Linked DNA regions of Daphnia pulex. The protein of the gene in region 2 purifies or fractionates together with the protein of the main gene of each other region. This does not show direct contact. Links are inferred from orthologs where the notes say so. Each region holds a gene or a part of one and is shown on either strand. Other genes may lie near its edges. The genes, in order: serine/threonine-protein phosphatase 4 catalytic subunit and serine/threonine-protein phosphatase 2A activator-like.

Evidence for each region.
Region 1: the proteins of serine/threonine-protein phosphatase 2A activator-like (region 2) and serine/threonine-protein phosphatase 4 catalytic subunit purify together in Homo sapiens (affinity purification with mass spectrometry; 3 studies listed by BioGRID and IntAct, with this or other methods). This does not show direct contact. The link is inferred for Daphnia pulex from reciprocal best matches to the Homo sapiens genes PTPA and PPP4C.

What each region holds. Positions count from the first base shown.
Region 1 is NC_060025.1:1,447,493-1,451,985, forward strand, and holds serine/threonine-protein phosphatase 4 catalytic subunit, read right to left. Parts: upstream 3,081-4,493; 5' UTR 2,990-3,080; intron 2,604-2,989; 5' UTR 2,333-2,603; intron 2,200-2,332; 5' UTR 2,182-2,199; coding exon 2,032-2,181; intron 1,972-2,031; coding exon 1,819-1,971; intron 1,757-1,818; coding exon 1,583-1,756; intron 1,519-1,582; coding exon 1,392-1,518; intron 1,324-1,391; coding exon 1,131-1,323; intron 1,067-1,130; coding exon 937-1,066; 3' UTR 337-936; downstream 1-336. Other genes in the region: probable chitinase 10, read right to left, coding at 3,317-4,191, 4,257-4,493. UniProt on the Homo sapiens protein: Protein phosphatase that is involved in many processes such as microtubule organization at centrosomes, maturation of spliceosomal snRNPs, apoptosis, DNA repair, tumor necrosis factor (TNF)-alpha signaling, activation of c-Jun N-terminal kinase MAPK8, regulation of histone acetylation, DNA damage checkpoint signaling, NF-kappa-B activation and cell migration.
Region 2 is NC_060019.1:7,364,935-7,368,502, forward strand, and holds serine/threonine-protein phosphatase 2A activator-like, read right to left. Parts: upstream 2,146-3,568; 5' UTR 2,019-2,145; coding exon 1,938-2,018; intron 1,871-1,937; coding exon 1,670-1,870; intron 1,609-1,669; coding exon 1,391-1,608; intron 1,331-1,390; coding exon 1,206-1,330; exon of another isoform or gene 1,145-1,205; coding exon 852-1,144; 3' UTR 822-851; downstream 1-821. Other genes in the region: ninjurin-A-like, read left to right, coding at 13-106, 195-319, 409-663; calcium channel flower-like, read right to left, coding at 3,209-3,311, 3,372-3,479, 3,544-3,568. UniProt on the Homo sapiens protein: PPIases accelerate the folding of proteins. It catalyzes the cis-trans isomerization of proline imidic peptide bonds in oligopeptides. Acts as a regulatory subunit for serine/threonine-protein phosphatase 2A (PP2A).

The DNA.
Region 1 (4,493 bases), on a different chromosome or scaffold from region 2:
GAGCGTTTTCTGCTCAGTCATGCCAACTCGCTGCCATTTCAATCTCTAACCGAATCCAACAATCGATTGTTGTCAAATAGTACCATTAATTAACAAAAGGGAAAGTTGATTAAACGTGGATTACCTTGTGATAGTACGTAACCTTATCACAAAACCGCACACGGTAGTCGAATGTCACAACGATATTACCTTATCAGCTGATTCATCACGCAATGTTGTTTCGGGACAGCGGTGATAATAAAAACGATCGTAAAAATGAATAGCCGTTATGACTCAATGTTGAGAAAGTAAACATCGAGCCTTGTTTTCGAAACTAATGCAGGTACACTAAACATGTTTTCGTCTCAAGTCCATCGTTATTTCAAGAAATTGTATACAGTGCATGTTGAGAGCCATCGCAAGCATCACATTCATAATAATATAAATGGGTGCAACACAAACAAAAAAAAAAAGATTTTGGAAGCATGGCCATTGCATCAATATTTAGCACTGATGTTAAAAAATAATTACACACGTCACACAATTCGCCCCCAACATACCATAACCGCACGTACACAAAGATATTGTTCATTAAACTGAGTAGTGGGAGTAGCTTATAGTCAGATGTGATATCCTGCAGCAAAAAGTTGAAAAGGGAAACTGAACACTTGTTTGGACGATCAAGATATATTTTTATTATAAAGGACAAGACTGTGTTTACCAAAAAAAAGGAAGGGATTGGACAGAACAGAATTTTCAAAAACCTATTTGTTAGTCCGGGCGGTCAAGGTAAATGGTCAACCAACATGATACAGGCTCTTTTGCTCTGTTTCAACTGATGGGGTATCTCACATCAGTTACTGTTTTTTTTTTGTGTTTTTTGTTTTATGCATTACCGAATAATTATTTTTGTAAAAAATCGCAGGGGATATATCAACGATCAACATTTCGCGTTTCTTATAGGAAATAATCGGCTTGAGGTTTTTTGGAAGGAATGCCACGAGTCTCTTGAGGGGCAGCTTCAAAAATCGTGAATTCTCGATGGAGATTTTCGTCCAATTCCAAAATGGCAGCTACATTTCCACACCTATTGCAATATTAAAAGTTTAAGTAATCATCTTGGTGAAATCTGGCGGGAAATTAAGACAAACCTATAGCAGTAGTTGGGGGCAGACCACACCGTCAGCACCGTTTCGTTAAAATGCCATTTGTAGCCTTCCATGACAAGCTGGTGTGCTCTGCAAATCATTTCGATGTCATTTGAGGTGTTGAAATGTTGCACAACATCGGAGCCAAAAAGATAACCGGCACCGCGTGGACTCACTCCCCATCCTTGCTGTGTATCTGTCAAAAGCAAACACCCAGAAATGAATTACCACTTTCAGAAGTATAGCCAATATTTATTTTCCTACCTTCAGGATCAGACCAAAGGAGATCACACATAGGTCCATCGTGAGGAACTTCCTGCTTTCTGTCAATTATTCGGATTTGATCCAGTGTCTGAATTGAAGGAGATAGCCCACCATGCACACAGAATATCTAAAATTTGAAAAACATGTCATGTTAGAGTTTTTATCAATGCATGTTACTACTGGAAGCATACTTTGCCGTCAATGATGGCTGAAAGACTCAGGTAGTCGAAAATTTCAGTACAATAGCGCCACACAGTGACTGAACCATACTTTCTAAAACATTCGTCATAGAAACCATAAACCTGGGTAATTTGACGTGATTCATGGTTCCCTCTAATCAAAGTGATGCGATCTGGATAACGAACCTAAGAAAGAAATCTCAAATCAGAAACAAGAGAAAGAAATGCTTAACAAAAATGTATACTACCTTTAAAGCTAATAGGAGAAGAAAGGTCTCTACACTGTAAAATCCTCGATCAACAAAATCTCCCATGAATAGATAATTTGTGTCTGGAACATCCCCACCCACTTTAAAAAGTTCTTTTAAATCATAAAACTGGCCATGGATATCACCACAAACCTAAAGCAAGCAAAAAATGTTAGTTATTGAGCAATAATCAAAAGCTTATGAGAAACCTACTGTGACAGGAGAGTCAACACGCTGAACATTGCTTTCTTCAACCAGAATCTCCCGTGCTTTGGCACACAAGGCTTTGACTTCTGATTCTTTAATGATATCACACCGTCTGAGTTGTTCGATCTGTCGATCCAAATCACTAAAGTCTGACATATTTACGTTGTCTGTTTCCTAGTTGACGAGAGGGAAATAAAGAATAACGACCTTGAGTATGTGCAACAGCCGACCGGTGATGTCATACACATTGACTTGGTAAATGAGGAAACTGACATTACACAGAACGAGAATAAGATAAAAGCTTTACCTCTTTGCGTTATTAATGAAATATGAGTGGTGATGGCGAAGAATGAATTCGTGACTGGATAAGTTGACGATCGAGAGTTAAGCCACGAATTGAATCCGTCCTCGTCGTTCTTCAAAGCTATCCTTACTTCCTTGGCTTGCCTTACGTTGCCGGACAAAAAAACTGGGCTTCAATCTAAACGCCATTAAATTATTCGGCGTTGCCAAGTTTCTCCGCAGTTTTAATTTCAAGCGCGCTTTTTATTCCTTTTTGTTGAAATATCGATATTGTTCTGAAAATGATTTACAAATATCTGGTAATATTATTAGTAAGAAAAAAAATTTACAAATAAAGATAACATCGCTAGCACGCTAGTAAAAAAAATATTTCGATACATTATTTATCAATTTTGAAATATTCTCTGACGTCAGTCGGCCTTCAGCCCGATGTTTGCTACCAAAACATGGTCACGATGGGTTTCGTTTATTCAAACGGGACCTTAACTAACGCTGACATTCAATTGATATTTTATTTCTCAGAATTCCTTTGGATTAAAAAAAATCGATTGCTTGAGACGGGCATGTTCAGGCTGATTTCTCATTTCTGATTCAGTCAAAACACAGATCTTCTGACGGTCGTTTACTTGTTTGCAATAAAGACTTTCATAATACAACCAACCTTGATTCAAGCCTTGGAAATCTGGTCTTTACAATGTAGCCGTTAACCCATTACTTATTTAAACACTTCCTGTTTCGACACTTGACAATGCCACTCGGCACTCGCTCAATCGACATTGGAGTTGTCAAATTTCTAATTCATTTTTAACGCAATTTTGCAACAAAAAAATAAGAGTTCTCTTGGCTTACTCAATGAGTATATCAATTAACAACATTTAATTATCACTCGTGTGTATTGCGGGCCGAATCAATCAGATTTTGAATATATAGTAATAAGATTTAAAATATTAGAAATGATTAAAAATTGTTAAATTTGAATTCTAACGTCCTAGATAACTAAATTAATTAAAATAAACCCGAAAGCCAAAAATGTAAGTTGCTGACTATTGCCAGCAATTCGGTGCCCATTGTTTGGTATGAATGGCGTTTTCGAACTCGTAGCCTGTGTCGACTCCGTCGTGACTCTTGGCCAAGTGGACAGTTTGGTAGTGGATGGACGGGGTGTTGTTGGCGTTGTTGTCGTTGTCTCACCCGTAGTCGTCGAGGTGCTGGCTGTAGTAGTCTTGGTGGTCGCCGCCGGTGAAGTCGTCGTAGTCGATGTCGTCACCCCAACAGTTCGTGAAATGTTGGTCATAATAGGATTGGGTCCATCACCACAAGTGTTCCTAAAGTCGTCGGTACTCATGTCCCAAACCATGGCTCCGCCTAGTCCCCTCTCCAGAACGTAGCGACTTTTGACATTGGCCATGACGGGATCGTCGTAACCAACCCAAGTCTTTGGCACGCTCGGAGTGGAAGCGTATGGACCGATTTGGAATGTCGGATCGACCACCACCTCCCAATTTTCGTTTTTCACATAATTACAGATTTCGTTGTATCCTAACGTTCCCGATTCACCGGTTAAAGGTCCTGCAGCTCCAGGTCCCAAACCGGGTGCCGGAAGCGTGGGATCCTCCGTGTAAGTATAATCGAGTGTCCAGGACTTTCCGTATAGGGGAATTCCCAGCATGAGTTTTGAGGACGGCATACCGCTATCTTTCCAGTACTGGACGACAGCATCGATATTGTTGGTTTCATCTGTATCCCAATCTCTTTTATAGAGCGGGGCGTGATGGTCAGTTAAAGGTTCCCATGGCCCGTGCATATCATAAGCCATAATGTTGATGTAATCAGCTGTCGTGGCCAACACAGGTATGTCGTATCCTAACGTTGAAAAAATGTATTAAAAAAACCTTTTTATTTCATATACACTATTGATTAATACTGACCGAGGTCGCTAATGGTTTTATTGACTCCCACAGCGATAGTGAGTGAATATTTCGGTGTCTGTAAATTAAATGCGGCTCGAAGTTCCTTCATTAATTCAGCAAGCCCAACTTTGTCGGACGCACTACTCGGATATTCCCAATCGATGTCCAGTCCATCAAATTTATACTTGTCAAGAAATGCCAAGACTGAATCGACAAAAGTCCTTCGGTTAGTCGAGCTGGCCACCATGTCCGAAT
Region 2 (3,568 bases):
CGAAAACTACAGTGGAAACCGGTGGAACCTAGATATCCACACGACCGGCCCGATCCATCCGTCAACAATGGAATCAATTACACTACCAAAAAGAACATCGCTCAAGGTGAGATCATGCAATTGAAAATTATTTCAGAATTAGACGAATGAGAATTGTATCCATATTCGGCGTATCTTTATTTTTATTTAACAAGGTATGATGGATATCGCACTGCTGACGGCCAACGCCAGTCAATTGAGGTATGTCATGCGATCTCCCTATTGGGATATCTACCATCAAGTGAACATCGTACTCATTTCAATCAGCATCGCTCTTCAGGTATGTGTATACACTTGGATGATTATAAAAGAATAACGGCTTTATTAGAGACCTAATGTTGAATTATTTGGACGTTTAATGTTTCACAGATAATAGCTGGTATTTTGCTCGTTTTCATCAGCCGCTACGACTACAAGAAAAAAGAGACTAGAGACGTAGCGCAAATAATGGGTGACGTGATCGTTATTTTTATCTTTGCGGTTACCATTGTCAACATCTTCATCGCTACTTTCGGGGTTGATGACGAGCGAACTACATTCCTCCGCTGGAAGCAAGCCTCCACCGATGCCTCATCCGAACCGATTCACATGAGCCCTGTCAATTCATCCCTTGTCCGCCCTTAAAGTCCCCTTACATCCCTTGTCCGCGAGCCTTTAAATTATTTCAATTAGCAATATACACACTAAATTTCATTTGGAATTGGAAATTATATTTGATGAAACTATAGACGAACGTAAAGAAGAATCAAAATTTAAAAAATGAATTTTTTTCAAGAGGAATATTTGTAGTTTCATGCAAATGTGTTGTTCGTTTATTGTTTCTGCAGATTTGCTTCCGTAATTGGTAAAAGAGAACCAAAAAGAACATGCTGCATGACAGGGTGTTTGGCCAAAACTTCTGCTTTGTACATTTTAATCAGACCTGAATTTACTTTCGACCAAGTTGCTACCCCACTGATGTTCCAGAGTTGGTTCGAGTGTTCAGCAAACGGCCCGTTTTTCACCTTGAAAATAAATTTGATACAGCCAAGGAACATGTAGTCTTTGGCAAAACATTCGACAATGTCCTGATTAGGAAAAGATTTGGGTGGCAACCGCTGATTTTCTACAAAAAGATTGACTTTTAGTTTTGAAATATTTTTGCTATTAAAAAATTGTAACGATACCGATGAGTTGAGAACTTCCCCAAATAAAAGGGACGAATTGATAGTCGTCTAAGCTCCAAACTCCGTGCGAACCTGCTGGTTCCATACGATAAATTAACTGCAGTTTTCGAACCAACGACATATACCTGTTACAAAAACTGCCATTTATCACAACTGTAACAGATTTAAGGTAAAAAATCAGATACCTATCAAATACAACAATCCCTGCAGCAGCTTGATCACCAAGGGTCAAGAAACCAATTTTGAAAAGGCAGTACAAGAAAATGACAAATGACATTTCATGTCCTGATCCATAATCAATTCTTGTAGAATTTCCCACACATTCAGTTAAATAGACTTCTATTTCAGGAATTGTGTAGTGTAACTCTTCAGGTAAAATATCTTTAAGGATATTTGAGGATTCCTATTTAAAAAACATGTTCAGTGTTTCCTCATTATGTTCAACTTACTAACAGGTAACTTACATCTTTGAGTTTTTGAGACCACACCCTGAATGATTTGTTGCCAAAGCGCTGGGGCTGTTCAGTTGGGGGGATTTCATCAATCCAACGATCCAGGCAATCCAGCAAACCAACCACTTTCACTATTCTGTCGTTCAACTGGATACTCGACGCTTTCTTTCCTTGCACAGCTTCGTTAATGGCAAGAATGAATCCCATGTATTCCTGTATGAATAATTAAAACGTTAGTTTTTAGAACGGTTATTTTATGCTGCACACTGAACCGGCAAACCTGATACGCTTCTGATTTCAGCCACTTTGACATGTCATCAGGATTGAAAATTTCTTTGCGCGGAGCCGTCAACACCTCCATAATTTATTATCAAATATATACCCAAGTAATAATTATTTTCTGATAAAAAGCTTTGTGATTTTGAGCTGTTTCGAAAAGAATAATTTTTTGTTTTCTTAAGCTGGTTTCTGTTGTGATGTAACACTGCCACCTGGCGTAAATAGTAAAAACTTGATTGAGGAAAAATGAGATTTTGAATCGTCAGCAACCTGCGTTCCTTATATTAGCAAGGATCCAACTAGGGTAAAGGGCTGTTTGTGATTTTTGGTTTCATTTTTAAAAAGCAAAACAACACACCAAAAGACCAGATAACACGCAAAAATTTTCTTTTGTTTTTCGATTGCCTAACCTGTGTTACCTCCTATCGTGGTTGAAACAAATTCAAAATGGCAATATATCGACCCCAAATTTCACGGGGATCATGAATAATTGGATATCTACTTTGTTTTGAAGCTGAAAGTAGCTATCGCTTACTTCCAGTCTACTTCCGGACTATTTACATTGAACCAGCAAATGAGTTTGCTCTCTGTAGAGATATCAAGGTGTTCGTCTAAAAGCTAGTATTTAAAAAATGTATCTGCACTAACGCTTACCTCTAATGTTTTAGTTTTTAGAGACGATTTCGAGGATTCCTGTTTTAGTAGCAATAACTATTTAAATTACTATTTTAGGTCATAATTAGAATTACGGACACCATTCAGTCTCGTCATGACCGACGTTCTTTTAAACGAAAATCGGGGACTTGGAGTTGTGATTTGCTACAGACATTTAACTCGAGATACATTAGTTTAAATTATAAGTGTACATCTTCCCTTCTTTTCTGTGGCCCAGTCCGTGGTTAGTCACGCTTCCACTGTGATAACCAGAGAGGTTGGGAGGGCTCTGGTATAGAACGGGATTGATTTTTTTTTAAATGACTAAATAATGAACATTATGGGCAAATAAAGCTTAAGTTATTTGCTAGCTAAGAGAATTACTTGTTTCCATTACAATGAAACTTTGAGTTTTGCACACAACTGTATTCACATCAAACACACATCGGAATGCTAGTGCCACAACAAACTGACAAACAAGTCATTTCATGCTTGACACTTTCGTGAAGTACACTAATAAAGGGTTACTAAGCGAGCTAATTCACACTCAAATAGCGTCCTCACGTCAATTTTTCTCATCACGTTAAATAAAACCATTATAAATCTAGCCGTAATTACTTAGGGAACTGACTGGTTGGGAATAGGGACTTCCATGTTCTTCACCAGATTAGTTGCCAAAAAATCTGTTTGGGCACGGTTTAGCATTTCACCTCGACTAGCCCTGGACAAAATAAAAATTATCAGTATAATAAAATAACTAAGCAATGTAATCTATCTTTACTTTTTCCCAAGAGCCATGAGACCATAGACAACTCCAGTTGCAAACAACATTGCACTGCCAAGGAATGTTGACAAGCCAGCACAAAGGAACATTGCAGGTAGTGATATTCTGAAATAGAGAAGAAAATATGGTGATTTTACTGACAAACAACACACCATTACTATATACTTACAATATGTAGAAGCCTGCCTTATGCC